Linked DNA regions of Astyanax mexicanus. The protein of the gene in region 1 interacts with the protein of each later gene in a pairwise test. Links are inferred from orthologs where the notes say so. Each region holds a gene or a part of one and is shown on either strand. Other genes may lie near its edges.

The links.
Region 2: the proteins of myog (region 1) and cluap1 interact in binary tests that used the Homo sapiens proteins (3 or more experiments, as listed by UniProt). The two-hybrid records come from large-scale screens. The link is inferred for Astyanax mexicanus from reciprocal best matches to the Homo sapiens genes MYOG and CLUAP1.
Region 3: the proteins of myog (region 1) and txndc9 interact in binary tests that used the Homo sapiens proteins (3 or more experiments, as listed by UniProt). The two-hybrid records come from large-scale screens. The link is inferred for Astyanax mexicanus from reciprocal best matches to the Homo sapiens genes MYOG and TXNDC9.

Annotation. Positions count from the first base shown.
Region 1 is NC_064431.1:20,021,921-20,033,542, reverse strand, and holds the start of myog (myogenin), read right to left. Parts: upstream 5,432-11,622; 5' UTR 5,324-5,431; intron 4,586-5,323; exon of another isoform or gene 2,660-4,585; intron 1-2,659. Other genes in the region: zinc finger protein 205-like, read left to right, coding at 5,927-5,931, 7,907-8,064, 8,900-9,273. UniProt on the Homo sapiens protein: Acts as a transcriptional activator that promotes transcription of muscle-specific target genes and plays a role in muscle differentiation, cell cycle exit and muscle atrophy.
Region 2 is NC_064413.1:14,770,375-14,780,968, reverse strand, and holds the start of cluap1 (clusterin-associated protein 1 homolog), read left to right. Parts: upstream 1-6,022; 5' UTR 6,023-6,103; intron 6,104-6,161; exon of another isoform or gene 6,162-6,310; intron 6,311-7,608; 5' UTR 7,609-7,670; coding exon 7,671-7,692; intron 7,693-9,005; coding exon 9,006-9,117; intron 9,118-10,594. Other genes in the region: wdr90 (WD repeat-containing protein 90), read right to left, coding at 1,027-1,139, 1,272-1,339, 1,651-1,777, 1,874-2,044, 2,371-2,509, 3,016-3,192, 3,525-3,616, 4,588-4,600. UniProt on the Homo sapiens protein: Required for cilia biogenesis. Appears to function within the multiple intraflagellar transport complex B (IFT-B). Key regulator of hedgehog signaling.
Region 3 is NC_064418.1:24,876,470-24,887,324, reverse strand, and holds txndc9 (thioredoxin domain-containing protein 9), read left to right. Parts: upstream 1-5,568; 5' UTR 5,569-5,688; intron 5,689-6,961; 5' UTR 6,962-7,002; coding exon 7,003-7,188; intron 7,189-7,405; coding exon 7,406-7,524; intron 7,525-7,861; coding exon 7,862-8,116; intron 8,117-8,765; coding exon 8,766-8,886; 3' UTR 8,887-9,216; downstream 9,217-10,855. Other genes in the region: mrpl30 (39S ribosomal protein L30, mitochondrial), read right to left, coding at 10,410-10,542. UniProt on the Homo sapiens protein: Significantly diminishes the chaperonin TCP1 complex ATPase activity, thus negatively impacts protein folding, including that of actin or tubulin.

The DNA.
Region 1 (11,622 bases):
ATTTAACCCTTTAACTGTCCACTCGTTTTTCTAGTTCATGTTTACATTCGCACAGTTTTTTGTAAAGAAGGATCTGTTTGATTGAACTGGTATATTTGATGTAATTACAGGATATTTTACAGAGATTAAACAGGACATCAAAATGATATGATGTGTTTTTTGATCATAAAGCTGTTATCTTTTCCAGTATGGCCAGTATTACTGTGCCACTTGGTGCCACTTTAGCTTGAACATGATATTGTAACTTTGTGAGCAAAATTCTCGCAATAAACATTTTTGTAATACCTGATTAGTAAGTGTTAAATTACTGGGATTACAATAATGTCAGCTGTGTAAATGTCATCTATCTGCAGAGCTGGAGCTAGCTGTTTCAGACCAGCAGCTCTAAAACATGCTGTAGTGTTAAAAAAAAGCTAAGCTAACGCTATCTAAAAGTTAAATTTTTTTTCTCACTTAAAGTAATTTACTCTACTAGACTAGTAAACAATATGTGTGAGTAAATTTCTGATATTTCACTTGGATTTAACAAACAAGCAAGAGTTTTCCATTCCACCTTAAATGCAGCCGGTCTTGACCAGCAGTTTTAAAATACAGCGTAGTTTTACAGAAGCTAAGCTAACGTCAGCGCTAAGTTTTATTGTTCTCTCATTCAATGTTACTTGAGCCTGCTCGACTAGTTAATCGAGGTGTTAATAAATGTGAATTTACCTTTCCACCTTAAATGAGGCAGGTCTAAACCAGTAGTTTCAAGACATGCTGTAGTTTTAGAGAAGCTAAGCTAATTTTAGCGGCAAGTTTTATGTTTTCTCCCACTCAGTGTTACCAGAGCCTTCTAGACTAGTTTTAACAAGTTAGCATTTTCTATTCCACCTTAAATACTGCCGGTCTGGCACAGCATTTTTAAAACATGGTGTAGTTTTACAGAAGTTAGTTAGTTAGTGCCAAGTTTTATGTGTTCTCTCACTCACTCTCAGAGCCTTCTAAAATGAGTCAGCATTTTCCTGAGTTTTCCATTCTACCTTAAATGTGGCCCTTCTAGACCAGCAGTTTTAAAACATGCTCCAGATTTACAGACACTAAGCTAACGTTAGCGACAAGTTTTGTTTCCTCTCAGTCAATATTACCAGAAACTTCTAGACTAGTTAAACGAGTTAGCATTTTCCTGAGATTTCCATTCCACGTTAAATAAGGCAGGTCTAAACCAGTAGTTGTAAGACATGCTGTAATTTTAAAGAGGCTAAGCTAACGTTAGCAGAAAGTTTTATGTTTTCTCTCAGTCTATGTTACCAGAGCATTCTAGACTAGTTAAATATGTAAGCCTTTTCCTTAGTTTTCCATTCCACCTTAAATGTGGCCTGTTTAGACCAGCAGTTTTAAAACATGCAGATTTACAGATGCCAAGCTAACATTAGCGACAAGTTTTGTTGTTTCTCTCACGTTATTTTATTAGAGCCTGCTTGACTAGCAATTTGAGGAGTCGGTAAATGCGAGTTTTCCTTTCCACCTTAAATGAGGCAGGTTTAGACATGCTGTAGTTTTAGAGTAGCTAACAAGTTGTATTGTTTCTCGGAACCAATGTTAATAGAGCTTGTTAGAGTAGTTAAACGAATTAGCATTTTCCTTTGTTTTCCTTTCCACCTTCAATGAGACATTTAAGGTACATTAAGGTACTGTCTTGGTTTAATTCTTTATGAAAACAATAATGTGTTTAATAATAGTTGTACAATTACAACTTTAGTTCTCAAAAAATCTCTTTCATGTCTGAACAAAACCTGTAATTGTAATGGAAATATTTCCAAACGAATCAATAATAAAACGATTCAAATTAAATCAGAAATTGAATCGAATTGGGGCCTTGTGAATCTGAATCGATTTTGTAAATCACTGATGATACCCAGCCCTACAATTTAGTTATAAATTACCACTGTATGTGGTACTAGAGGCTTCATGTAGAGAGTGGGGTCAGCAGATGCTGAGGGGCATATTACACGGAAGTAAAAAAAAAAAAAAAAAAAAAAGGTCAATCACCAAACACATTACAGGCAAGCGAATACTTTTGGCAGTATAGTATGTATGTAAATGTTGCTCCGCCTCTAGTCTGGATACAAGATTAAACACAGTTGGATCTTTTACCAAGAGGTATACTACCTAAAAGTAATTTCTGAGACTCGGACTGCACTTGTAATCATTTACATACCTGCTTGAAACATAACAAAACTGCTAGCCAACTTTTGCTGCAATACATGCATTATTTTTGCTCCTTTGCCTTAGTCAACAATAAATGTTCAACTCTGTCCCGGACTGTCTGTGCTGAGCATTTGGTAGAGTTAATAAACTTTGCTATAATTAGGAGAATCTGGTGACATGCTGATTCCTCTACAGGCAAAATTGGGATGAATTGGAAGGAAATGAGCACATAGACAATACCCAAATAGAGCACAGTCGATGCCCGGCGTCTGCCCGGTGCTCGGACGTTCGCCTGGACTGTACGTCACACTGGCCGACCATGAGTGGCAAGAAAGGAAGATGCAAATTTCCTGGATGCAAAGGCATACCCAGAGTTCTGTGCATGAAATGTAATGTACACCTTTGTTTCACCAGGCAGAGCAACTGCTTTGTGAAGTTTCATATGCCGCTTAACTGAATGTAGAACTGGATTTGGTAATCTTTTGAATGCAATCGCATCTTCTGTCTTTACTCTGTTTTTGCTGTTAGCAGTAGAGTCACAGTTTGTATTTAGTGTTGACTCTGTAATGTAAAACAGGGGTGGTTGTTGTGACTTGAAGATTTTGGCACTTTTGTATTTCTGTTGTGTATTGAATTTAAATTCAGATTATGTTAAATTTTGTGTAGAATGAATATTGTACTCAGTTTAGAGAGTTGTCTGCTTCGTCTCCTCACTTTGGATGCCAGGTAAAGGACACTAAACCTACACAATTGAGCACTAGCCAGCAGTAGTCAGGTCCGACCCTACCGGATCCTGTGCATGTTAAGTCCGAGCCCAGAGATTGTTAAATCTGACATTTTTAACTAAAATTCTGAGTTGTCTAAATGAGTGGAATCTGTATAGAATGATTTTAATGAACAGTGCAACACAGAAGAAGCATAGGTCTATTGATTAACAAAACTGTTACGCACAGCACTGCAGTGTTGTGTAAAGACCAGTTAATACAGTCTGCGAATTTGTTGAATTTGCAAATTTTGTTGAATTTGTTGAATTTGCGAATTTCACTGAAAGCAGCTGATGGATGCATGGATGGATGGTGACGTTACTAGTTCCTATTCTATGGAATGTCAGGATAAAGTGTCCTTCAGCGACTTTTACATTGCATTGTTGCATGTTGTGATTTTGTCTTTAATTCTGCATTTACTGATTAAATAAAGTATCAATAATATTTTCCCTGATTTCAGTAGCTTTGTGGAACATTGTTGCCCTGGGGGTTAGGGTAACACTCTTATTCTTTTTTTGTTGTTGTAGTAGTAATAGTCAGCTATATAAAATTAGTAAATATTATTTAAATGGTGAGTCACTCTCAGCACTGCAGTAAAACACCTCAGTTTTACTGCTGACTGAGAATAGTCCAAGAACAGCAAGCTTTGGGCATTGTCCTGTGGACAGTGTCCTGTGACTACTGATGAAGGTCCTAATCATTGAAGAACAGGGTGAAAGGAGGAGGATAAAGTATGCGGAGAAACAGATATATGTAGATAGACTACAGTCTGCAGTTATAAAACTACAAAGTGTCCTGTATGCTAAGTCGAGCTGAAAAAATACAGGGGTTGGACAATGAAACTGAAACACCTGGTTTTAGACCACAATAATTGATTGTCCCTACAGACAGTTCTGGTGGAAACAGGAGAGTTGAGGTGCACATTAAATTCTGCCGTGATTTGATCAGCCGTGGATTATTATTTTTTTGGATACAATCCGGGTTAGCACCCAAACATCCCTTTCAGACAGCTTCCTCTTACAGCGTCCACAGTTAATCCTGTTGGATGTGGTTGGTCCTTCTTGGTGGTATGCTGACATTACCCTGGATACCGTGGCTCTTGATACATCACAAAGACATGCTGTCTTGGTCACAGATGCGCCAGCAAGACGTGCACCAACAATTAGTCCTCTTTTGAACTCTGGTATGTCACCCATAATGATGTGTGTATTGCAATATTTTGAGCAGAACTGTGCTCTTACCCTGCTAATTGAACATTCACACTCTGCTCTTACTGGTGCAATGTGCAGTTAATGAAGATTGGCCACCAAGCTGCTCCAATTTAGCCATGAAACCTCCCACTCCCACACCTGACGGTTCTCAGGTGTTTCAGTTTTATTGTCCAACCCCTGTTGAGAGTGTAGATTATGGAAACTAGGAAGTGATCAAAGTGGGACCGCTTTGTACTTTCCAAGCAATGTACTAGCTGCAGCTCTGCATTTTGAATTAAACCCTACCTTAATATAAAGTTAAATGCGCTGTGGAGTGTAAACTTATTGCATACAGCACGGTTCTGATTGTGTCATCAAACATCATCGGTATCAGCTGAGGAGGCAGCTGTGAGGTCCGCCCCCTGCCGCGTACAGACAACACATGTAAGATACCACTCTTGTTTTGTTTTGTTAATTATTTAATGCTTTCTGTTAATGTGAATATAGTAAAGTATGGATAGTAGAGTAGTCACTCCAGCAAAAGCAATATACAGTATACTCTTTAATACCCTTGATTTCAGAAGAAACAATGAATAATAAGTAGCTGTCCCAATACTTTTGTCCATAAAATATGATCTTTACACATTTACTCGGGTGTCACGGGTTAGACAGGAAAAATAAAAACCTGGTCTGAGTAGTGGAAAAAAAACAGCAGCTTAGTGAAAAGAGCAGGAGTCACCAGATACAAGTCTAGAGAGCCTTTTTAAAGTCCAATTCACGGGTGCTGTGAGTGTCTATTAAAATCTTAGATTAAAATCCTAAAATATATAAATATAAATGACACAGAAATGCAGTAACTTGCATTTAAACCTTTTTTCTAGGAATCCAGAGCTCTAGGAACAAGTTATATAGAAGATCATAACTAATTCTAAGGAATTTAACCGTTTAATTAAAGCATTTGATGTGCTTAATGTTTTAAAACAGACCTGAAGAAGCATAAAATACATTTTACACACAAATTAGCTAATGTAGTTTTATCTCCAGCACTAAACCAGCACTCCTACATTCTGTAAATAAGCTCACATGAAGAATCACAGATGCTCTAAGGATGTTCAGTACATTTCACTTAGGAACTCCATGAGTTGAGATGGCGGACAGTGTGCTGTAGGCAACTTTACATACCTTTTAAAGAGTCTGTGACGCACGTCACCATGGGCAAATTTGGGCATTTCAGTCACTTCAGCCTGGTAATTTTCTGTCCCAGAGCAGAAAGCTATTTACCAACCAATGCTGAAAACAAAACACACATATAAAGGATAATTAAGAAATATACAGACAAAAAAAACACTTGTAGCTCAAATTTCCATTCCAGACACACACAAAGCACTTGTGCCTGATTATGCATGTGTGAAATGGGCTTTAGTTCACCACAGTTTCGCTATTTTCCTGCTCTAAGTCATTAATTCACCTAATTCAATTAATTAATTTATGAATTAATACATTTAGTGAAAATATATCGCCAAGCTGTGAGTACACAGGCTCGCCAGATCAGAATTGATCAGCCTGATTATTTTAACAATGTTTGCAGGTAGAAATGCTGTTTATAATAAGCAAAATAATTTATGTAATTTAATACATTATTGTCAACTATATATAATTAATTTATTTTCTGTTTGTTTTACAGTTAGTTTGAGGGGAAAATCTTTCAGGGCCTCCAGTTAATCAGCTCTGTCTTCTGGGACTGATTGCTTGGTTCAGAAGCCCACCCTTAAAAAGACGGCTGAAATGAGGTAATCATATGCAGTAATATATCACTTTTTAATTCAGTGTATCTTATGACTATATGGATTATGGTATCTGCAAAATAGAAACTGCGGTAGTTACTAGATAGACTATATTGCCAAACATATAACTCTGCCTATGGGTCACTCTCAAGAGCTCACTGAATTTCAGCATGGTGCTGTGATATTCCAATCGTAAAATTTCTTCACTATCAAATATTTCACAGTCACCTGTCAGTGATGTAAATTCCATGTAAATGACAGAGCAGGGTCAGTGGTTGCACAGGTCACCAACATTTTGCACTCTCTCTCAATCACTACAGACCTTTGAACTGGCCTTTAAATTAGCTCAAGAACAGTACAGCGTAGAGAGCTTTATTTAAAAAAATCCATGGCCAAGCTGCTGCATCCAAGCCTTACATCACCAAACAAGATGCAGTGCAAAGCATTGGACACTGATGTAAAGCATGCCGACACTGGTCTCTGAAGTGACAAATCACACTCCGTCTGACGAGTCTGGGTTTGGTGGTTGCCAGGGGAACAGTACTTGTCTAAATTGTCTGCATTGTGCTAAGTGTAAAGTTTGGTTGGGGGGGGGATTATGGTATAGCGTTATTTGTCAGTATTTAGGCTCGGCACCTTAGTTCAATAGAAAGGAACTCCTAATTGCTTCAAAAGACCAAGAGATAAGTGCAGACAGTTTGGTGTTGGCCCATTCCTGTTCCAGTCCTGCACTTAACCGGATAAAACACCTTTGGAATGAGTTAATGCGAAGACTGAGTGGCTGACCTTCTCGTCCAACATCAGTATCTGCTTCACAAAACCGCTTCTGAAAGAATGGTCTATAATTCTCATAAACACACTCCAAAACCTTGTGAAAAGCCTTTTCAGAAAAGTTTAAGCTGTTACAGCTGCAAAGGGTGGGCCAACATTATGTTAAACCCTAAAGATTATTAAAGTTTGTGTGTGTTCTAAGTGAATATTTTTGGCAATATAGTTTAGTTATCCTAGCAAAGATGATAATTAAACAAATATGGCATGGGTAGGTCTATAGTTTTGTAAACTTTAATTCTTTATTAATTTATGGAAATGCTAGGAAACAGCTCGTCATGTTATTTTACTCATTGTGTGACCATCTTTTTTGTTGTCCTACATAAATGTATTTAAATATTTATAACCTCATTGTCATATTTCATTTTATAAAAATGATTCCAGAAATGTCCTCCATGTTTGTCGGTTTTGCTACCAGAGTCTGCCCAGTAGAGACCAGAGGCGGAGCCAGACCCGCCTACTCATTTGGTAGGCCCGCCCCTTTGTCCCAGACCCAACTGTCATAAACAATGGAGATGAAAAGACAGTTTAGAGGAAAAAATGTGATGGAAAATGGGAGGGGCTGTTGCCACTGAAACATTTAGAGATGGGCGGAGCTACATATCATACGGCAACCAGTTTTTTGGGAAATATTGTGCTCTCCATGCTTATTGTATGTACATTTCTGTATGCTGACAGCAGCTATCTAGTTGCATATGTGGGTGATGTTACACATACCTGTCTATTTGTCTACCATGTTTTGTTTGCATTCAATTTTGTAGCGTAAAAATGCAATAAACTTGGTTTTGTTGAACCATATCTCATCATTAGTCCTCTGTTCAAAAATGTGCTACAACTTCAGCCATTCACTGTAAACTGGTTAAGATATTTTTTTACTGAATTATACATTTAAATCCCTGAGATTGGTAGTTTAAGGGTTGCCAAATATGCCTTTCTTCTTGGGATGCAGCAAAATATATATATTTTTTTAATTACATAAAAGGTGGTGCATTGTTTTACTGTGCAGCGACTCCTGGGCTAGTATAATATAAGTGTCAATACTAAGAGTGGCAGTTAAAGGGTTACAGTTTTACCGGAACTGCTCTCGTCAAATTTTAATAAATGTGTGTTAATGCAACAGATTTTAATGAGTTTTACCAAATGTTGATTTTAGATCGCATATGAAACGTGCTCGCGGAATAAACAAACTTCCGAGACTTGGACGAGAACGGAAACTGGAGATGAGGACTGATAATCCGAGAGCACTGAGAAAAAAGGACGCAAGTCCGGACGTGGTGGTGGTCCTGGACGAAGACGAAAGCCTGCCAACACGTAAGTAAAATAATGCTGTAATCATATCAGTATCAGCAGATACAGGCATGTTATGTTTAGGAAACCCTGGCTAAGTTGCATGTTTTGTTCATTTTTTTGTGTAAAAATATGTTACACAAAAAGGTTCTCGGAGTAAAGCCAAAGAAGATTTTTTGTAATAAAACTTTGTTATTGGCTCTTTTAAAACAAAATGTATACTACACACTTAAGCTAAAAGGTAAAAATGCTATGAAGTGTTGGTTTGGCAGGCCAATTACCCAACCTACTCACTAGTCCTATCACTAGTACAGCTTCCAACACTAGTAGGGTGAAGACTAGCACATGCTTCCTTTAATACATGTGAAATCAGCCACCGCCTCCTTTCCAACTGCCATTGATGTAGCAATATTGGGTACCCAGCATGCATGAGGAAAGCACAGCAACCCAGCTCCATTACATCAGCTAACAGACATCACCTTGGTGGAGATGAGGGGAGAGAACATTTTTGTGCTCTCTCAGACTCTGGCTGCTGATGGCAAGCAGCATGACCTGGGTTCAAACCACTATCAAACCAATCATAGCACCATATTGAAATTTGAATATTTCCAAATATATTAATATTTTTTGAACATGACTAATAAATACAAGTGACATCAGACAAATGCAAGTGACAAAGAGAGAAAAAAAATATGGGCATGTGTTTAAAAAATGTGACAAGTTTCTAACAATTGGATATATTCAGGAAGAATGCTTGTTTTTACATTTACATTTATGTTTTTCTTTTGGCTAAGTGTGAAAGAAAAAGTGTCCGTTTTATTGCCACTGTGCTGAAGTTGTTTTCCTTTCTGTGATGTAGAATTCCTGCCGGGCTCGGGGAACATGAGCAAGGAGATGAAGCAGTTCGACCCGGAATCGCTGGAAATGTACGGAAGTCAAGCGAAAGCCCTGGGCCTATCGGACGGTAATCTGTGCGTGGTGTGTGGGCGGACCTTCACTTCACGAGCTCTGCTGAAGATTCACCTGAGGGTTCACTCAGGAGAGAAACCGTATAACTGCCATTTCTGCGATAAGAACTTCCGACAATCCAGCCACCTCAGCGTTCATCTCCGGATTCATACCGGAGAAAAGCCCTACAGCTGCCCCACCTGCGGGAAGCGCTACAGCGACCGGAGCGCGTGTAACAGACACGTTAAAGCTCATCTGATGGAGCAGACTGAGCAGATTGAGTAGCGGGAGGCATGTTGGAGATGTTTAGTTTTTATCTTCCTCTATTGTAGAATTTTAGATATAGTTACACTACATTCTTAATATTAAATTCAAGAGATCTTAATGCTTTGCCTTAGGAGAGCCACTTTTTAAGGCCAATTTATGACTCTCCGTCAACCCTACGCTGCCCCCTAACATGTACCTCCCCAGAAACATCTTCGCATCACAGCAACACAGACTTCATCAACTGTGTTCGGTTTGCTGAGTATCGTATTTAAACTTCCATATCTCCACCTTTTTTTTGATGACCACTGTTTTGCCAGTGTAAGTGCAGAGCGATTTAGGTTTCCAAACCTAAAGGTCCAGACCAAAGTCTAAACCAAGGTTAATTTGCTCTTTTCGCAATTAGTTTTGGTTTCACACTGTGTCTAGTGGCTGAACCCAACAAAAAACACCTTGACATGTCTTGTTGTCATCCCCTACATGGGCAAAGAACCTGAGTCTCCCTATACATGACATTGATTGGTTTGTAGAAGGAAAATAAATGTCACACAGCAGCATTTTTTTTGTCAATTTGGCCAGTTGTCTTTGCAGATGTTCTGCCAAATTTTGCTTCTTTGCCACAATCCGACAGCTCAGATTTTTCTTTTTGGTCAAAACCCAAATAGAAGCTGTGAAAGGTTCTATAAACCATGTTCTGGAGATTCAAAGAGGCGAATCAATTGATTGATGGTCCAGTTTGTTGGCAGTGAGACAGTGAGGCTATTGTCACCCATTAAATAATAGAATAATTTGAGTACAACAGATGATGCTGGTGATTTCTGTATCTACTGTAACTAGATTATTAACCCTACTACAGGATGTGCCAGCACTCAAAGTGAGGCAGAACACAACACCTGGAAAAAAAAGAACCGAACTTACTACATTCTTCAAAACGATCAGTGTTTGGTAAGACCAAATTTGGGTGGTTCTTGGCACCTGCTCTTTCACACCTGCTCTGTTGGTTCGGCCCAAACAAGGTAGGTGTGAAAGTGGCCTTAAACCACTAAATACCCTTTGAAAGGTTTTTCTTTAGAACCGTGGTTTTCAGAGCAAAGTTGGGTCCATGATATGTAGCTAGAGGTTCTGCATTTTCTTTTTTTCTTTTCTTTTTTGGAACCCATATCAAGTTTGGTTGAATAAGAACCAAAAGAAACAACTTGTTCCAGGCAGTTTTTTATTACTGTATCCCAGGTTTCAGGATGTTTCACTTGCGTTACTAGATGGTTACTATTGTATCTCAGGTGGTTTCTAGGGTTTATCACTTAATGAAAAATCTATGTAATAAAAACGAGTTCCTGACTGTAAAAGGTATGAGAAGCTTTGCTTTAGAAAGTAGTTTTTGTAAATGGAATGCATGAAGAATTATTATTTATTATTAATTATTGAAGGTTAAGCGAAAAGGTAAAGGTTAAAAAAGTCCAGAGGCCCAAAGGTTTCAGAAAAACCCTTCAAAATGGTACATTTAATGTATTTTACGTTATGTTAATATGTTTTTAATCCTGGTTCTTCTGTGCCACCTATCAAAAGAACCCTTTGCGCCAGCTCTTAATTTATATATATTTTTTACTTTGTTTTAAAGAGTGTGCTTATAATTCTGTATCATCAATTGTATTCTGTTTTGTATTCTGTTACTGATTTCTTCTATTTCTTTCAATGACATGAAGTATTCTTGAGTTTGATGGGTACTTTGTTGGTAATTTGAATTTAAATGTAAAGCTAATTTAAGCAAAATAGCTGTAGGAACTTTTAGAACTTTGAACCTTTTAAACTTTGGAAAAAAAAAACTTGAATATGCAAACATGACTAGCTAGTGAGCTCTTAATGTAGCTTTTATTTATTTACGGTAACATTGACCAAACCTTAGGGCTGGACAGTAATTCAGTATCAATATAGATTGTTATATAATCTGTTTTAATATTAATTCATTTTACTGAATTTTATTACATTTTATTTTTTTTTTTTTTTAACTTTTCTGATATTTATACATACTGTTACATATTATTTATAGCATCATTCACTGACCGACCTTCATTATAGGGCATCCGTTATGGCCGGTATTTTTATTTTTTCCAGTTTACCTGTGGCTTTCATACTGTTCAAATTAATATCAGACTGAAATTATAAAAAATATATTGTGATATAAATGTTGGCCATATCGCCCAAACCCTGCATTAAATCTTTCGATTCTGTATTTTAGAGGTTTAACAAAACCCTAAAACTATTATAACTATTAAATAGATATAAACATTTTTTTACAAGATGCACCAATCAGCCATAACGTTAAAAGGTTTAAGGTTTGAGTGAAACTGATCTAATATGAAGGATTTAAAT
Region 2 (10,594 bases), on another chromosome or scaffold:
AACACCAAAAAGATGCTCTGATGGTTTGCTATCCACGGCTCGAGACTGGGTAATGTCAGTTGACCTGGAGAGGCAGCTGAAAATGCCACCACACATCACCCAGTCCAAACTAAGACCAGATATCATCTTGGTCTCTGAAGCCACAAAACACTTGGTCCTGTTGGAACTGACGGTACCTTGGGAGGATAGAATAGAGGAGGCACAGGAGAGAAAGAGGGAAAAATATCATGAGCTGGTGGAGGATTGTCGGAGGATCGGATGGAGGACTAGATGTATACCAGTGGAAGTGGGCAGTCGGGGGTTTGTCAGCTATTCCCTGAATAAGGCTTATGGCACACTAGGCATAACAGGGGCCAACCGGAGAAGAGCCATCAATAGCAACGCGGAGGCTGCAAAGAAAGCATTTAGGTGGCTCTAGCTAAAGAGCGGTGAGAGGTGGGGGCAGCAGATTGCCACTTGGACACAGGCCGGGGTCTGATCAGCCTCGGTCGGGTCGCGTGGATGAGGGAGTCACGCCCAGTGACTCCAGGATACAACACTGATGATGTGTCCAAGTTGGTGCATCAGAAGACGTTTCGATGACTAACAACTCAATAAAATTAAGTATGTCTGCCTTAACAGAAATTCATTACACCTTAATGCAACTTAAATTCACTGTTTTTAGACAAATCAACTTAAGATAACTAATTTACAACTATTAAAGTAAAATAAATAGGCTGTAGTTATAATTTGAGGAAACCTGATTGCCTTCAATTACTTATGTTACACTAACTCCAATCAAACACTTTAAACAAACACTTTTTAAAGAGCTATAAATCTTGCTATACATGCAAGAAGGCAGCACATTATTTTTGGGTTAGTTCGATTTTATCAGCATAAGTGATGCCAGGTTTCTGTAATATTTAAATTATGTTAACTTAATTTGTTCAGCAGGAAATGCAGTTAGGTTTTACAGTGCAGGGATTCTGCAAAAAGCAACACTACAGCAATTCTTTTAAACAGCAGTCTATTCACTCTCTCACTGACAGGTTTGGGTGTGGTAATCTGCTGGATGAGGGAGACGCGGTCCTGCACAGGTTTGCTCAAGTTCACACTGCGACTTTCTTCTCGAATAGGACTCTCAATGAGCACAGTCTCTTCTACACAGAGAAAAAAAGGGATGAAGAAAAAGAGAAAGAGACAAATTACAGATATTTAACAAGCCTTTTTTGTATCATGTATCTGCATTATTTAAGTCTAGTGCAGCGCAACTGTACATTTGTAACACTCACTTGGAGTTTGGTTGGTAAGGCCTTTCTGTATAGAATCAAATGGCATCTTCACACCATCTGTGGGAAACCTTTGAAAAATATGCAGGATTGTGCAGGATTATTTCCATGTATTTAATAGCACAGTCATATTAAGGAATGTGAAGAACATTCACATGGCATTAAAGTCACATCGAGACCACAGAAAGACAGAAAAACTGAATGCTAAGTTAGTTAATTAGTTGACTATCTTAGCCCTGTACAGCTTGTACCTTAGAAAAACACTACCATGGCTAGATGCAGCTTTTTATGGCTCTAAACATGGATCTTCTGTAGCATCATTTTTTATTTAAATTAATTGAATTAAAGAGTGTTGTATTAAAGAATTATATGTATAGTTTACCTGATGTAGTCGTAGAGCTGATGCCAACTGCTGCCCTTAGGCACAGGGAAACACATCTCTCTGGGCATGGGGGCTGTGCCTTCTGGCAACATCACACCAGCCTGTCGGAACTCTGAGAACGACAGGCCTACAAAGAAAGATCGTAAGAGAGCAAGAGCAAGAGTTACAATGTTAAATTGTGTTTAAAACTACTTTATAAGAAAAGTATTTTAATTAAGAGTACCTGGGTCCAGCAGCAGGTCACTAGTCTTGAGGTTTTTCACCGTCATATTGGAACAGAGTTTGATGCTCTTCAGGTGACTGTGTGTTTTGTTTAGATAGACAGAAAGCACATACCGCAGGTCCATCATCAGACATGTCCAGCGCACAGACGCCGGTGCTGGACCCACCAAACCTGAAGCACACATCAACACCACAGCAGTGTGGACTGTTAAAGCACTGTTAAATATACAAAAACTTATATATGGGCCCAGACGTTCTATCAGTGTAACTTGGTCACGATTAAATGTAATTAAATTATTGAAGAGAAAAAATTTATAAAGTAAGATCCTTTAATTTATTAACTTAATAAAAAACATATATCAATCATGTCTCCAATTATTTTCTTTGCTACTGCAAGTGATTTTATTACGTGTGTTTATGAATTAATTTTAGCACATTTAAAAATAATAATAAACAAAGTAAGAAAAGAACAAATTTCTTCCGAAAGGTAGTGTTTACCATGTTTAGCAGATTTGGCTGTGGTTTCATAGACAGAGCCCGAAGCAGCTCCACACAGGAAGGGAAACTGCAGCCATGTTGCCGTAGACTTAAATTCCTTGAACAGGTTGGAGAACGATACACGGATCACCTGACCTTCCTGAACCAGAGTAAAAAAGAAGTTAAACAGTTAATTCACTGTTTATTCATCTACCTAAACTCACATTAGTCACGGAATATTATAGATCTGGGCGATTATGGTCTAAAAAAAAAAAAAAAAACGTTTTTTTTTTTTTTTCCAATTATAATTTCCCCCTACTAAAAATCAAACTAAAGAAAATGGTTTAAGACCCTGAAGTTTTTAGAAGTGGTAGGATTTAATTCTAGCTAAATATAGGCTTTATTCCACCGGGTGTTTGTGTCAAAAGTGCTGAAACAGTGCTGGAACGATTTACGGTAGGAGCTCAGTCCTTGGCGGAATGTTTAGAAAATATGCGCGGGTTAGTCTGTTGGAGGCGCCAATAACCAAGATAAGATGGATAAACACTTCAGAAATGAGTAGCGTTTTCGGATATTTTAGATGAAAACGATAAAATAATCATGAAAATCACCCAGCACTAGAATATTATAATGCTCTCTGACTACTCCTTTTTACATTACTCTCACCTCAGAAGCAATGTCCACGTGCACTACAAAGTGTTTACTGGGGCTGGGTCTGAACAGCAGGTAGAGGTAACGGCCTGTGAGCCCCAGTGATTGGCTGCTGGTTCTGGGCAGGAGAATATAGTTGCTGGCTGGAATGGAACCGCGAATACGGAACACCGAACACTTCAGAGTCTTGTCCTTTACAACACCAACAAAAAAACAAAAAACAAAAATTAAATTAATCAATAATCAACAATATCAATGTGTTACCCCAGCTGACCACCAATAATGACAGACGAATGTATGATGTATTCTTATTGAATGGAAGTCATGACGTTGAGGTACCAAATTTAATTTGCATCCTAATTTAACGTCTGTACAACAGCTTCATTGTAATTTTCAACTAAAATTCAACGTCTGTCTGATGTTAGATTTCAATTTCTTGCGTTAGACTGATATCCACTGCCTTCAGTTATAGGATGTTACTTCACTGAAAGACATAAACACTTGATATGACAGTAGAATTTTACCATGTAGGTTGTAACATCGCCTTCTTTGCTGGCCTTCCTCCATTCCTCCAATTTTAGGTGCTTAAAGACATTAACATAAGGATGTTGCCATGCTAGAAGGAAAAACAATGTAAACACAGAGGATAAGAAAAAAAGAGATTCAGAGGATATCAATATTCACTTGTTCAAGATTACGTAATCAGGAATAACAGTATATACAGTGTACTTCAATTAATTGTATTTTATATAGAAATTAAACAAAAAGATTATTCAAAAAGTACAGTGAGACTCTGGTCTGTATATAAACCAGGTACCTAACAGGAAATGTTGACATAATGTAAAGAACACATTTTGCATACACATTACGAACATAAATCATTACACAATGTTATTTAATTCCATCCAGCAGGTGTTTCATTAACTAGCCATAGTTACCATCCTACTGTAAACTAGTTAACCTAACTATCTAGCCAGTTATCATTGTGTAACAGTTGAGAAAAAAACTTTGACATCTATCAGTTGAAAAAGATTACCATGTCATTTCTAGGGCTTTGAGACTTCAGTGGATCACAGGGAGAGCTGTTATTCACAAATGGAGAAAACATGGAACAGTGCTAAACCTTCTCAGTAGTGTCTGACCTACACAATTACTTCAAAAGGCCATGGACAACTCATCCAGGAGGCCACAAAAGAACCCAGAACAATATCTACAGAACTGCAGGTCTCACTTGTATAAAGTATAAAGATTTGATTTCAAGTAATTTTAAGCATTTCCATTGATCTATTCATCAGGAAATGTTGACATAATGTAAATATCTGATTTCACATACACATTATGCACGTAAATATTTATACAATTTTTTTTATATTTGTTTCAGTAGCTAGCTAGTTACCATCCTACTATAAACTAGTTAGTTAACTTACCTGGCTGGGTTATCTAGGCAGTTATCATTATGTTCACTGCAAGTTAAATGATGAGGGTTCTGCTGACAGTAGCTAACTTGTATTGACAGTGCAGCATACCCAACCTAGATTAGTTATTTAGAATAAGTGCTAGCTAACTAACAGTGTGTGTAAGTCTTACCTTTTGAGGACATTGTAAACAGACCGAGATTAGCAGATTGTAAATGGGTTGATATCAGCAGGCTAAAAGCACAGACGCTAGCGCTGAGTTAGCTCTAACTTTCACAGTTAGCATATATAAATAAATATATCTATTTGTTTGTTGATGTGCTCCGTTCCAGGCCAGCGTCACATTTTAAACTAAAATCCTTCATGTCTCAGGAAGCTTCATATCCTTCGCAGAAGTTTGTTTGTGTTGTTAAAGTGGTTAAAGTGCTCTCTCTCTCTCTGCGCTCCGGCTGCTCATGTTTTGTTGTCAGACTCAGGTCTCCTCCCGCTGCAGCAGCCGCCGCTTTCAAACGGCACTACGCAGCGTACCCGCAAGGCATACTGGGTAATGTAGTTAATACACTGATGTACACTCACCATTTACATTATAGTTTCAGTGACATGTTTAACCTTCACACTGTTTTATTTTCAAGAGCTTTTTTATTTTATTTTTATTATCTATTTTTAGTACAACACTAGTACAAATGTACAGCTATTTGTGACTATATTACTGCGACATAATTACAGAAACATTGGATTGGAGGGAAGAAGGCATAGCAAAATACAAACAATAAAAAGTAAAAATTACATACAAATTCCAAAAATAGAGCACAGGTTCCATATTTTAACAGATTACTGTTTACAACCAGAAAAGGGCATCAAATAGCATTCCACATCTTTGATAAAAACAAACACAGTATATGCGTCAATATATATTGCCAAAAAATGTAACCAAAACACAGTTTGGGTGCATACTTCTTTTTTGCGGTTGTGGTTATTGTTGTTATCATCTTTCTGTATTATGTTACAAAATAGAGACATCAAAAACAACAGAAACAAAATAATAAACCCTCTTTATTCCCACTCCCCTTTCTAGCACATACAGTCCAAACCCATAAACACACCCACATACACCTGCGTATAAATGTGTACATACACATAATATTGAATGAATAAATAAAAGTGTGCAAACATTTTTGAATGCAAAAGCTTCTTCCTGCTGAATTTTGATGATCAAATTAGTTTACTATATAATTTTAAGAAAACATAAAATATATTTAAATAAAATAAAAATAAAACAATATTACGAAGCATGGGCATTTTAACATTTAAGTAGTCTATAGTTAGTGAAACATTTGATTAATAGCTTAAAAATATCAAAAAGTTCCCTTTCCTCACAGGCAGAAACTTCCCTTGATTTGGTAGTTAAAGTGTGAGTAACTTAAAAAAACAAATGTATATATATATATATATATATATATATATATATATATATATATATATATATATATATATATATATATTGACAGATTATATTTTTCATTGTTAAATCGTGTTTTTACCATTGCATCCCATGAAATCTCCGTAATCCGTTCTACTAAAATGAGAATTTCTGCTTTGCGGTAAATGATTTCCAGTCAGTTTGTCCTCTTGCGCTTGCCGTAGCTCACTGTCGCTGCCATAGAGACGGCCTGGGCCGCAGACGCTGGGTATGTGTGTTTATTATCAGATATAAATTTGCTTTTTAAACATTACTTACAGGATTAACTACTAAAAAAAGAGCTAAATATATATCCTATGTTGGCTGTGTTTTGATACAATGAGTAAATACGAGCAGAAGTCTAATGCTGCTAATATCTGCACTTACGAGCAAACTGTGGCCCAGGTAATCTGATAACCGTTAGTGAAGCTAACAGGTAACCAACCTAACCTTACCTAATCGAACCTAGCTAGCTAAGCTAACGTTTTAATTCAGTTTAGACTCTGAGTATTAAGAAATATATACACTAAAGACAATGACTGTGAGAGTTGGGTTAAGTTACTAGAGAGTAAGGGTTAGCTAGTTAGCAAATAACAGACCAAGTTTCAGTAAGGTTATCGCTGTTTTATAGCTGTAGCCCACATCTAGCTATTAACGTTACATCTAGGCTGGATAGCTTGGGGACACTAGTAGTTAACACGCCTAAGCTTGCTGCCTCTTCACAGTGCCACACTAAATATCCTTTATGAATAATGAGAACAGTAACCTAGGTTATTTAATATCATAAATGTTCCCCCTAGGCCTGTCACCATATTAAAATTGTGCTTAATTATATTTATTAATATATTTATCGTATGCTGGAAAAAGACCACAACGGGCCGACTAAGTTACTTTAAAATTATATAACGTTAGTTGATTTAAGCATTTTTTGATGATGATGATTATTATTATTATTATTATTTAGTCATTTTCAAGTTTCAATTGATCTATTGTTCTATTTAAACTGCTTATTTAAAAAGAGGGTTTAAAGCTGTGAACAGTCTGTGGACCAGTTAGACAAATACATGTAAAAAAAAAAAAAGAAAAAAAAAGTAAAATCAAAATGTGTAGTGTGTAGTCAGGGTGTGTAGTCTAGTCTCTCTGTAAGTTATAAATATGTATATGGGCATTGGCACATATATAGATTTCGGACGTTTACATTGACCCAGAGTTCCAATTCAAAAAATATGAAATTGAGATGTTAGAAAGGGATTTATTTCTTAAAGGAAATGTATATAGTTTATTGTGTATGAAACCTAAATCTCAGAAATAAAAAGGTGTACCATTACAGGTGTACTATTTAGATAATTAAGTATTTTGTTTTTATTTATTTACGTTTTGGAATATACTAAAAAAATATAGCTAATGTATTTTCTTTTAGAACAACAAAGTAGTGGTTATTCTGTGTAATTTGCTCTAATGTATATAAGTTGGCTGTAAGAAACATTTTTAAGTGCAAAATCATTTTCTATGTGAGCTGGTATTTCAGATGTACTAGGATTAGGATGGATTAGTTGTAGACTATATATTCCTTTTGATGTAAAATCTACAAAATCAAAATTTTATGTAGTCCTAGATTAGGTATAAATCCTGTTTGGGAAACTGCCCTTTTTACACTTCATTTTATTCCAAGACTGGATATACTTTCTTAGTGGCTCAAATTGTTACTAAATTTGTTGTTGTCTTTTTCCATAGGGGACTGAGGAAAGCCTTCAATTATTGGTAGAGAGATATTTGGAAAAGGAGAAAAGGCAACCATGTCTTTCAGAGATCTAAGAAGTAAGCATGATCAAATATATCAAATTATTGCTATAAAAACCAACAAAGTAAAAACCTGTTTAAAATGAAAATTAAAAATGGCATTCAACAGGCACAATGCAAAATGAGTGGCACATAGCAAACCTTGTGTCAAAATGTCCTCAATTGCTGAGTGACCTTCTCCCCCCAAAATATTTAAATCTTTGCTACAGGTCCAAAAATAGTGAACAAATGTGCCCCTCTGTGTCTGGCAAGTGAAACATAGATCTGATCTCTCTGTATCTATCCTGTGTAGTCATACTGGTAATAAGTAGATTCTGTGCATGAACTTCATTTTAGGTTGCACAGGCTTAAAATTAAGTTCATGCAAATAAATTGAAGTACACTGGGGATAAAGGTTTACACAAGCAGAATCCCATAAGTTTTGCTCCGATTCCATTTCCAAATCTTTCTGTCAAATACCCTTCAAGTTTAGCAAAGAAGACAGAGATTCGTTTGACAACATAATGTATTCCCTGTCAGATTCATTCACAACCCCCATTATATAGTAGAGATGTAAGGAAATGTCTAATTTAAAGATATCTGGAAAAACTATACCTCTTTAGAATATTCCAAAAATGCAACAAGACCCCAGAAAACAGAACAGAAATCTGTGTGATTCCTTGACTAAACCAGTTAAGGAATCCTGTCTCATGCAACTGAGAGGGACATTTTGGATTAAGTGCAAATGGGGAAGACCAAAAGAAACGGTTAGGTATTTCCAAATCAGCAGAGTGTTGGATATACCAAAAGAATCATAGACCCTTTTCAACTTTTCACATTATGAATAAATGGTAAAAGAGGGAGTGAATGTTATGGACTTCATTTTAACCTGTAATGAGTCAGTCCTATTGGTACACTTGCTTATAATGTGTTAAACCTGAGTTGACCAATAATATAATCGCATGTTTGGTAGCAAGAAAAAGACAAGAAAAAATATTAATTCTCGAAATATTTATCCTGCCAAGCAAACATAATAGGAGAGAGAGCACCAGATACCCAGATCAAGGGGGGATAGTTTTTAGGTGTTTACAGCAATTACCAAATAGTTAAATTCAAAGCCTTTTCCTAAAATTGTATCTATCTATCTAAAATATTGGCATCTGAGCATGTGCAAATGTGTAGTCTGTGTGAGTGTATTTTCTTATCGTTAAACCCAGTTTTTTGGTAAACCTAAAGAAAGTCATGTGCATTCTATTGATGATTTCTTGGATCTGATGAACTAATAAAGCTTTATGTATGCATTGTTGTGAGCACTTGTTTGCTAGTTTGTGTGTTATTGTTTGTTGCTGCAGGTTTTACAGAAATGATGCGTGCCTTGGGATACCCTAGACTCATCTCCATGGAGAACTTCAGGGCTCCCAATTTTCCCTTAGTGGCAGAGATACTCATCTGGCTTGTTAAGAGGTTGCACATTAATCTCTTTGGTTGTGTGTATGTGTTTGTAAGAGTGTATGTGTTAGCAACTTAAGTTAAAGGAGAACTCCGGTCTGAAATGGACTTTTGATATTGTAAAAAAATATAAAGGGTACTAACCTTTGTTGAATAGCCCAACTCCGTTCTCCCGCAGCTTTTCGAGATCCAGCAATTTTGTGCAGTTTGTCCAAACCGACTGGAATGGGTTTTAATGGGCCATATTTTGCCCCTGCAGATAAATCGCTTTTTACACCTTTGTCCAGGCTCAAAGTAGCTCCACACCTCATTGATAGAATCCGGAGAGCCCTGACATTTAAAATTAGTCATTAAGAACTTTAAAAAGTGCACAAGAAGTTTATTAAAACCACTGTTTACAACTTGTAGCTTAACCTACATCTCCAGGCGCCGCCATCTTAAAGTAAAGTCATGATCAGTAGAGTGACGAGCACGTAATGTTGACAGAAGTACATGCTGTATACATGAGAAAGACGTGGCCAGGATGTGTGCTGTGCTCAGACTGCAGCTTCAGCCAGCATAACAGAGGAAAAGGCGAAGGGAAAAGAAGACAGAATGGTTCAGGTTTGTGCCTTTCCAGGTTTCAACATTACGTGCTCGTCACTCTACTGATCATGACTTTGCTTTAAGATCGCTCCATCCGGAGATGTTGGTTATGCTACGGGTTGTAAACCATGTTTTTTATAAATTTCTTGTGCACTTTTAAAGTTCTTTATGCCTCGTTTGATCAGGTCAGGGCTCTCCGGATTCTTTCACTGAGGTGTGGAGCTACTTTGAGCCTGGATAACAGTGTAAAAAGCGATTTATCTGCAGGGGCAAAATATGCCTCGTTAAAACCTAGCCTGTTTGGACAAACTGCACTGCTAGATGCAGATTGCTACAAAATTGCTAGATCTCGGAAAGCTGCAGGAGAACAGATGTGAGCTATTTAACAAAGGTTAGTACTCTTTAGCATGTTTTACTACACTCAAAGTCAATTTCACACTGGAGTTCTCCTTTAACAGCACTTGCGAGTGTGTAAGTGTGTGTTAACGAGTGACAAGTTACTGAGCAAAATGTTTTGTTCATTTGTATGGCCATAGCTGATTGAATTTGTTCAGTACTACTACATTATCTTGATTAGGGGAGTTTAAAGTCCCTCAAACAAGTAAGAGGACATAACATACAAGCATCTTTCAGCCTGATAGAAAATAAGTTTGAAAGAATGTCTGTAAAGAGATATATATTAAAGGGTTTTTAACTTTATACTGTATTATACTGCTTTTTGTAATTGTTAGTCTAAAATGTAAACAATATTTAAACATTATATTTACGCCATTGGAAAAACACATTTGATTTATATTAAGTATATTAACCATTTTGTAAAAGAAATGTGAAGAACCATAAAATTGGTATATAACCATAATTTACATTTACAACTTCAATACGCCTTTAAAAGTTTTTTCAAACGAAC
Region 3 (10,855 bases), on another chromosome or scaffold:
CTTATCTCCCCATCTCCAAAAAACAACTTTAAAAGAAAGAAAAATATTTCAGCTGCATAAAAATATTTATTTGAATAGGAATTATTACTGATGGTCTAAATTTTGTGATTACATTGTAAAGAAAAACTGCCACATTCTGTCAAAAATGGCAAAAAATAACAATACAGGGTTTTGCGTGACTGTGACAATATGGTGCGGTTTGTTGCGCTGCTCACGGTATAGCTCTTAGATTCATTTATTCTGCCATACAAAAGGGAAGGCCTGGAATATTTGGTCAGCAAAATCCGCCTCAAATGACTGACCTGTGCCTGAAGACCTGAAGCTGTGACACCATTTGTATGTTTTTTAAACTTGCTAATAAATTGCTCTTGTTCAACTTTTGGAGCTAAATTCATGCAAGACTAGTTTGCTTGTTTTATATCATACTGACTACTGCCATGTGCAGTGTTACATATCCAATGATCATTTAAACTTACCAGAAGTGTGTGATATGCACAATTTTTGCACACGTTTGAATGTAGAGCAAACCTCAACATTCTGCTCAGACGTTTAGCTGAAGTAATTAAGGCACTCCAATCCAGCTCTGTCTGTGTGTGTTACGGAGTCTGACTGTCTGGTGGAAGAAGCTTTTGCAGAGTCTGGTAGTGGATGCTTGGATGCTCTGGTATTTTTTGCCTCATTTATAAAACTCTGTGTTGATTCTGGAGTGGAAGTGTGCGCACAAAAAAATTAGTGTGTATGCATACCTGAAAGCTGTTTCCCTTTTAGAAATCAAAACCTGCTTATAAATGTGCGCAGGTAACCCAGCCTCGTGTTCCATCTCCGCACCGCCCACATTTACCCATAAAAGGTCCATGCAAATCACTAATGAATACTTAAATATGGGATTCTTCATTAATTCTGAGCGGGATAACTGAGGAACGCACAGCAAAAAAAGCTAATTTTTTGGAGATCTGTGAAATAGAAGTCTTTGTTTCGGAGGTCGAGGTTTGGTGGTTTTAGCCAACACATGTCTGCAGCAGTTAATAATGAAGTTTCACAAGCTACATCTGCGCACATTTCCCAATGACTGTAAACACCTGTAATTTAGACATTTATTGCCTGATTCAGTTAGTCTCTTTAAATCTGCGCCCAGCCTAAATTGGTTAATTAACCACTCAGCATCATTCACAAAATTCAAGTAATTCCAAAAACGCCATTATAACTGAGTGCATCACTCTTTTCTGCCTATTCATAGAGCTGTAATGTTTTGCTATTAGGTACAGCTGTTTCCTCCCTCTTTATAATGGATTATAATTTGTAGCAATAATAATAATATTAATAATAATAATAATAATACTCTTTATAAATATCACCTTTGGATTTTACATTTGTGGAAAAAACTAAACAGATAAGGTAAATGAATTTAAATAAACTGAAATACACAAGTTTGCATAAAAACATACATATAGACAAGGATGTAGGAGTGAGCTTGATATTGGGGGGACACATTTGCCAATATGAACCCAAGCCCACCCTATAGTTTCTAGAACAACATTTGTGGAAATTACTTTTAATTGAAAGTAAATTATTATTATAAGGTGATTTTACAACCTCAACATGTTACTCCACATTACAGCTACTGTTGTTAGAAAAATTATGCAAGCAATGTCTGAATTATGTACATATGACAAAAATGATTAGTTATCACCTAATATTCATAATAATAGATTTGTTTATTATTGTTTATTATTATGCTTATTCTTATTATTATGTATTGGCATGTCAATTCTGTTGTATATTTACATTTTCTCCTGTGCTTTTATTTTTTTTTCTACTGAGAGCTCTTCGTAAGATGGTGTCCTTTTATGTAAAAGAATGTAACTTTACGTTTCATAGAGATTTTTATAAACGTCAGGACATGTGGTCTTACTGTGAACTACAAATGACCAGAAGTCACGTTACAGCAGTATTTCTCAACCCTGTTCTTACATATTCTACTGAATATTAACACTGTTCTGCATATTCTACAGCTTCCTCTGCTTTAAAGGCACTTAATAAAGTTAGTGGTGGTATGATGTGTCTAATACACTGCTGGATATACATGATTAATTTAGGCTCCATAGGGGACTAAAGGATTTGAACAGGTAAACTCAGTAAATGACTGTTTATTAGCTGATCAGCTGGATCAGGTGGAAAGCACAATTTTGGGGCAGTGATCAGGGTTAAGAAACTGCTCTAAACTACAAACAAAGTACTGTACTAAATTCCAGCTATCCACTACATCTGGCTTCTAGATAACTAGTTAGCTAAATTAATTTTCGTTAATTATAGCTCACAGTAAGTCCTTTAATGCTAAATTAATAAACACAGTTTGAAAATGAAATGGTGATTAGCTGATCAGGTACAGGTCAAGTTAAACATTACATAAACAGTTGACTCCCAATCTAGCTAATTCCAAAGTTAAGCTAACCCACTAACACAGCTGCAGTTTATTAATCACAGTGGGTTTAAACTGTGTGCTGATTCAGAGACGTGTTTTTTAACCAGCTATCATATCTCCGTATATCCATCTCTGTTTTAAAATCAGCTGAAGCTGCTGATCCCGGTCCCGCTGCTAAATCTCACAGCGAGGGGGAGGGGCTTCCCCAACAGCACACTGCCTCTTCTCCGCGCGACGCAAAACCAATAGTAATAGTACAGCTGAGCTTAGCGAAAAGATATCCTTTTTGGGGGGGACAAATCCACCTGTTTCTAATATCCCTCCCGGTTCCTACGCCAATGCATACAGATCATATAAAGCAGAATAAGACACGGAACGCATTGATAGTTTATTCATGCAGACAAAAATATATTTACACAAGTAAGGGTTACTCTTCCTTTCTTTGTCTTGATGTATGCGGTATGAATGAATATGCGTGAGGATAGGTTTGCGCATTTACTTGCAGTTCCGTACTTTACCACATGATGTCACTAATTTCCTTCTCCCCGCAAACGCTGCCTTCCCGCTGTGAAGCTCCAGCTCATCCCATATCACCCTCTCAGCTAATCAGGTTTAGTTCAGGGGGGTGTGGGGGATAAACACACTACATTGAAAATGAGGTCCTCCCTCAATGTAAACCTGAGTGTAAATAAAGAATGATTATCATTATGATGAACCAGAGAATGGCCCTTTCAGACAGCCAGACAGGCCCTTCTTACTCAGCTAATCTGCATTTCACTGTGAGACTACTGATACCAACTGTCTACAGCTCTGTTCATTTATGGGTCACTTTAAAAGGGGTGAACATTTATGCAATAATTTAATTGACATTTTACATGTATTTTATTTCATTTATGTTACTCTGAAGACATCTGTTTAAAAGAGTTTTTATTTTAAGTCCTTTAAAATAACAAAATTACACTGACATGCCACATGTCATGGGACAGGAATGCCCAGCAGCCCTCAATTAGAACAGTAGAAACTTACCAAATTCTAACAGTTCTTTTTAGGTTCTTTTCTGCTCATAATTATTTAGGCCAGCCAACTGGATAAAAATAAATGCCTTACATTTGTGTCATACTATGTTACTCTGCATGCTAATGTTTACAGCTAAGTCATTTTTAAAATGACCTCACTGACTGACATGCATTAAGTAGCTGCATTAAATATTACAACGACTGACTTTAGAAAACAGAATACAGAAGTAAACCACATATTACTGATTGAATTCACCATTTCTCCTGAATAGAGCTCAACTCAAAGACTGGAGCACCTGTGGGTGTCCCCGCCCATAAACTAACTCAGATTTGTTAAATGCAACATTTTTCTACAAATTATATGTTAATAAAAAGTATCAAAAAATACATTCACTACTCTTTGGCAAAATTACAATCAGGTATCCATACATTGAAACCCCTTAAATTTTTAAATGCTAATTAGTAACACAATTTCACTGAACTGGGGCAAGGTTGATGTAATTTTTAATACGTTGCAGTTTGCACAATAAACAAATTTTACATTTTGCAACTGATTTCTGCAAATTCTGACTAATTCCTTCATGTATTGTGTATTTTTCATGAGAATATGTAAATCCTATAGTCATTTTTTTTACAATTACAACTACAATAACTCTCTTATTATTTCTATTTTTAATAACCTGTTGATTTTTTTGCCATACATCCTGGCCCAGTGTTTTTTCCTCCCAACTGCAAACTGTTCGATTTAATTTTGTACTTGTGTGTTCTAAACAGCTTTTTGATCAGACACTGTTTCCATGCAAAAACGGATTTGCAGAATGTTTTCCAAATTTTGGCACCCTTCAAATCGGAGTATGATACTAATACATTTAAAAAAAACCCAGCCATCTACATAGGGTACCATGGCAACTACGAAGCAACACCTGAGCGACCACTACTTGCAAACAAACACAATTGTTTTCTAATACATTGCTCTTAACAAACAAATATAACACGTTTTGCAAATACAAAAAGCATTAAATAAAACATGATTTTCAAACATTACCGTGTTATGATAGTTAACATTACCAGTTATGACATAGGACACTGTTACACCTGCTTTCATGCTGAAATACTTTGCATTGGTGTTTGGTTAGATATACTGTAATTCTACCTCCTTTATTTAAATGCAACAGCTAGTGTAACCTCTGCTTATATTATCAAAATTTATATCCCCACAGAACTCGTTTTTAAAAACGTTATTCAGCTCTATTCAAAAAAGGTGTGGTTATTGTAAAAGAGCTGGTTATGGGCGGGGCCAATAACAGACCGTCAGCTCCACTCCGCTCTGCAGCCTGTGACCGCGAGGCAGCCCTCAGGGGCGGGGTTATTTAAATGAGTAGGCTGTCTCTCCACAGTCTTTCTCCCTCCTCTTGTCTCTACTGCGCAGACTCGGGTATCAGGATCGGTAACATGGCGGAAGATTTTGGCTTCATTTTCATTGAATGAATGGGAACGGCGACACGGCGTCCATATTTTTTTTACAGTCTCTGAGCTATACACAGTCTATGGTGTAAATTAATGCACTGGGGAGCGCTGGACAGTAGAGCTTGCTTTGCCGTGCAGCCACTTCTTGTAAACGAGGTTGGGTGTATTTGTGAGAAAATCTCAACACGAGTTTGCGACTCTGCTAAAAGTGTGCCAAAAGTCACGTGATTTACAAATGGGCTGTGCGTGTTTGTAAAATCATGACACAGTAATGTTTGAAAATCATGTTTTATTTGTTTTATTTATTGCTTTTTGCATTTGTAAAACGTGTTATTTGTTTGTTAAGAGCAATGTATTAGAAAACAGCTGTGTATTTATTTAAAGTTTACATATATATTTACAACTATCAGGTTTTGTGTTTGTAAAACACACCCTGTGTGTTAGATAGTTAACGTACGTTTTGTATTTGTAAAACGTGTTTGTTTGCAAATAGTATCATATTTACAGAATACGTTTTCTTTATTTGCATAGTTTTGGCACTAATTTAGCTCCATAATTCTGACTGGTATTTTGTTCTATATTGTAATATTTGATTCTACTTTCCAAAACGAAAAAAATCTCCATTCACCTCAGTTCATTCAGGACTCTGCTGTACTCGGGCAGACATGGGCGGGGTCTCCATAAACCGGCGGCTCTGTTGAGGCTCCGAGTTGAGGCTCTGATCTGCGCAGTAGCCGGACGGAGAGAGTGCGTCACGGTCCCGCCTCACAGAAAGCCGCGCCGGTAAGCTAAAGCAGCTAACCCTGGTTAACTAGCTCAGTTACATTTTATTAACATTTGGAAGTACATAGGTTTTATACGGATAGTATAACTGCTCATTTTATTACCTATCGGTACACTCTTGTTAACGTGGAACTTCAGCCTGTTCGCCTTTCTTTTTTATGTAAAGCACCCTGGAAGCTAAGCTAACGTAGCTAACGTTACTTGTCTAGCTAGCACAACACAGTTCACCATTAACTTAAGCTGAACTAGCTGTTATGGTTTGCTCAGTTTAACCTAAAGAACTAACGTTTTGGTGTTGCGTAAATTAGGTTAGTTCAGGTGGAGGTTGTGTCTGGGTCTAAATGCGGGACTTGACGGCGTTAGTCAGCGAACGTTAGCTGTCTCTCCGGCCGACCGCTCCATGTTTCAGTCCGAGCCGGGAAGAGTCGGTGTTATATCGTGTTGTGCAACCCATCTGTATGTGCTACTTAGCAACTCTGCGCATGCGCGTATATAAATAATGTGTGTGTGTTTTTTAACCATATATATTGCCTTGACTCCAGTTAAAGTAATTTAGACTATCCAAATATCATACCGACACTTCTACTGCCAGCATGTTCTATTATTTTGTATTTTTACAGTTTAACGTGAACTAGGGCAGCACGGTTTGACAGGGAGCAGAACTTGACAGAACACCGGTCACAGAGCTAACAGCTTGTCGGCTAACCTGTTAGCGGATAGTGTATTGTTAGAGATAGTCTGCGTTATCTCTAACTCTCCGTTCATTCAATTGCATTTCATTTGTTAACTACCCTCCAGTTTTCTACAGATAATGAGAGAGAATAGTTATTTATTTTGTTAGCTGTTAATGAAGCAACATTAGCACATTTCATCTCCTGTTGTAGAGGGTCGGTTTCCATGGACACGCCTTTCTCAGTGCCCCGGATGTTGAGTAAAGACCCCTTACAGAATATTGGCGGATAATGCGAGCAATAAACATATTAAAATATTTATTGTATCAGTAATATAGATACTAATTAGTGATGTTCGATGTAATTGAATCGATTAAAAGGCACAAACAAATATATAAAAATCAATGTAAAAAGCTTTTATCTTATCATGTATTCGGGTCCATTTATCATGAGATTTTGACACAATTTAAAGAACAAATGCCAGATTCAAATTATGTAAAAATGAAAGACAAAAGCCCAAAATGTTCTTTCATCTACATCAACTGTTTGATCAACAAAAGCTTCGCATAAGCTTGAGTTTAATTTTGTTTTACATCATTCAGAGAGAAAGGGGAGCAAAGAAGGCCAGGAAAGAAGAAGAAAAATGGCCAGCCAGTCAATGGAGATTGTAGCGAAGGCGCTGGAACAGCAGATGCTGCACTCAGCACGGCTTGTTGAGGAGCAGCTAGATGCTGAGCTGGATAAGTTGGAGCGAATGGATGAGGATGAACTGGAATGTCTGAAGGAAAGGCGGCTGGAGGCCCTAAAGAAAGCCCAGAAACAGAAACAGGTGGGCACAATGGTTGGAGATATTGTGTTTTTATAAAGACACTGGCATGCCATGTTGATCTACTGTAAATGGTAAACCATGCTTAATACATATTTGAAGTTACTTGAAAGAACCATGTACAACACTTTAATAAACAGTTGTTGCTGTAAAACACCAAAATAAGTATAAGCTTTAAAATTTAGAATGTAAAATGTTATTAATGCTGTTCTTCTATTAGGAGTGGCTATCTAAAGGTCATGGAGAATACAAAGAAATCCCGAGCGAGAAAGACTTCTTTACTGAGGTCAAAGAAAGCAAGAGTGTGGTCTGCCATTTCTACAGGGACTCCACCTTCAGGTTAGTATGTTTATACCAGGCTTCTGTTCTTAATCTGGTCTTTTGTACTCTGTAATGTTTCTACTTAAAACAGAATCTTAAAGTGTACTTTATTTTGTGCTTGGTATAGAACATGTTTCTAAAAGGCATCAATAACACTAATTTTGATATCTCTGTGTGTATTATTTTGCACAAATTATTTTTAAGACAAAACCAAACTTGCATTGGTTTCTCTTGTTGATAAGTAGTGAGAGGTAACCTATAGGTTTAAGTAGAAGTATGCATATTAAATATACTATACATATCTTAATACACTTTTTATTCAAATTTGATAAACTTGTTTATCTCTTCATTAAAGATGCCAAATTCTAGACAAACACTTGCACATCTTGGCAAAGAAACATCTGGAGACAAAGTTCATCAAGTTGAATGTGGAAAAGGCTCCGTTTCTAACAGAGAGGCTCAGGATTAAAGTCATCCCCACGCTGGCTCTGGTGAAAGATGGGAAGACTAAGGACTATGTAGTGGGCTTCGGCGATCTTGGTAACACAGACGAGTTCTCTACTGAAATGCTGGAGTGGAGACTGGGCTGTTCAGACATCATCAACTATAGGTAGATAAACCACTTTTTTCCTTACACACGTTTTGGGGGTGTAATGTCCACCTTGTTAATTCTGTGTACCATACAGAGTTTAAAATAAAAGTCCAAAGTCCGTGTTCAGTTACCCGCCTGAGAAGGTGTCAGAATTACAAGGTATCTCCTAATACTAAGACAATATCACTGTAGTGTGATTCTGCCATACTCCATACAGGAATTATGTAGTTTCACAGAATTTATTTAAACAATATTCAGGTTTACCCTATTTATTTGATTGGTTCCACCCCCTCCCCTGAGTTATAAACATGTAGGTAGCATGTTCAGTGTATTACCCCTACACATTGAACGTGCTCTATATACCCTACAGCTGTCCAGAACACTGACTTCCCCACCAATCCTATATTCAAATTTCCCTATTAAACCTGATGAGGATCGTTTTCATTTTCTTTTCAGTTTTTCTTTTCTCATACAACATAAAATAGAAGTATGCCAAAATTTCCATGAAATGCTTTCTGTTAAAATTTCATTGAAAGGTTTATAGTAGAAACTTTTGTTTGAGATTAGGTTCTGCATCACGTTTATCACATAGATGCTTTAGTATTCTCTTTATGACTGGATACACCACCACATCTGTACTAAACTGTGTTTTCTCGTGTTCTTTCAGTGGGAATATCATGGAGCCACCTGCTATTGGACAGAAACCAGCATCAAAGTTTACCAAGGTGGAGAAAAAAACAATCAGAGGGAAAGGCTATGACTCGGACTCTGAATCTGATGATGATTAGAAAAGACAAACATCTCATTTTGTTTCTCAGGGCTTTCTACAAAAAAAGTACAAAGTCTTGTAGTACAAACTTGGGTTATCATTTTGTTTTTGTTATTTAACATTTGTTTATGATCACTTTCCTTTGATACACTAATTATGTACTATTTCGATGGAATATAGCTTTGTATACATTTAATGCATACATATACATGTATACATGCAAATGTGTAAATGTATACACTTTATGTATACAAAGATATGTGTATTCATTATTAATTGTAAGTAAATCTCAAAGGATTTAACTTGGACTGTCAAGCAATAAATTTGATCACTGTTTAAATGTAAGAAATTAATTGTTTGTCATTTTTCTCAGCAAGCAGGGGTTTGGTAACTTTTTGCAAAAAGCAATGTAGTCAGTAATTTTGGATGAAATGCTTCAAGAGGACAGCACTGATTCCAGCTTGATGGTGTAGCAGATTCAGGAAATAAAGACTTTAAATTGCTTGTGTTTTAATAAACCTGAGATCTGGTGGGGGTCCACAAAGCAAAGTCAATAAGCTGGGCTTTGTGAGACAAGCGTGGGTCATTTTGCTCAAATTCAGTTCCATTAAGGAACACTTAAGCCTCTATCAGTTACTACAGCAACATAGATGTTTGGACAAATGTGCTCCATACCAGACAGTTCAGCTTGTTCACCATGAGCCCTGTGATGTCATTATTTTATGTATTTTATTACATTTGCACATTTAGCCCATTAGAGGAATATTTTATTCTATGAAATGTTCAAATTACCTCTAATTATTTTACTCCATGTATAAGTTTCACGTATATAATTCAGTTAAAACTTTAATTTATTAAGGCAGCCATATTAAAATTGTATTATAATTAATTTATTAGACCTTTTAATACAGAAAATATTAAGCCAGGGATATTGCTAAATTGTGGATAACTGGCTTAAATGAGGCTTATTCAAATAAGAGTGCCTTTTATCTTAAGTCACATTGTACCTGTCACACATTTATGTTTGCAATATCTTATTCTTTAACATGATGTAAATCCAGGTACGTCTTTCACACATTTAGACATCAGTAGGTTTATTTTTTATCCGATTAGTGTCATGTTTAGTTCATTGTCTAAGGTTTTGAAAAATGCTTTTTTCCTTTTACAATCAACAATCAATTAAAATTGACAGGATGAAGCATTGAGTGTGCACCTTCTCATCTATTTTATTGTTCTATTATTTTCACTTAAAATTAAAAAGTTGTAACGAGCTCCCTTTTTGTTTTGTTTAGATAATGTTTTAATATGCACATGCTTAGCTTGGACTGACATTTCAAAAGAACTCAGTAAGGTGTTGGTAATACCACAACATCTCACTTTTCACTGCATTTACAAGCCTATAGATATTTCTCTGTAATTCTAATACATGTAGATGTAGACTTTTTTTACATTTTTTGGGGGAAAAAACAAGACTCCAAGATTTACTTTGACTCAACAAAATATTTAATGTATGCAGAACGTAATAAAAAAAAACATGAGAAGCTACGACTCGATGGTTTTCTGTTCCACAGGCTTCTGAAGACGTCTCACCACCAGTTCCCCTTTGCTGTTCAGATAGGAGTCTGCCATTTCTTCTTCTGAAGGTAGCCCATAAGGAAGCTTCAAAGGTTCAATTCTACATATAAAACAACTAGGATCAGTAAAGGGGTCATAGATGTGCATGTTATAATTCTTACCCAACAAAAATGAGCCAACCTTATTAAATTATGTTAAATATCATATATCATACAATTAACAAGGATATGGATTCTTATTTTAGGTGAGTAGTACAACTACTCACCTAAAATAATTAAATTATTTTAGGTGAGTAATTTAATTATTTTAGGTGTTTAACTTAGTAGAAAAAAAGCCATTTCAAATGGCAACTTTATGGCTTTAAGAAACACTATAAGAAATCAATAAAAAAATGTGGCAGTCAGTGACAGTTA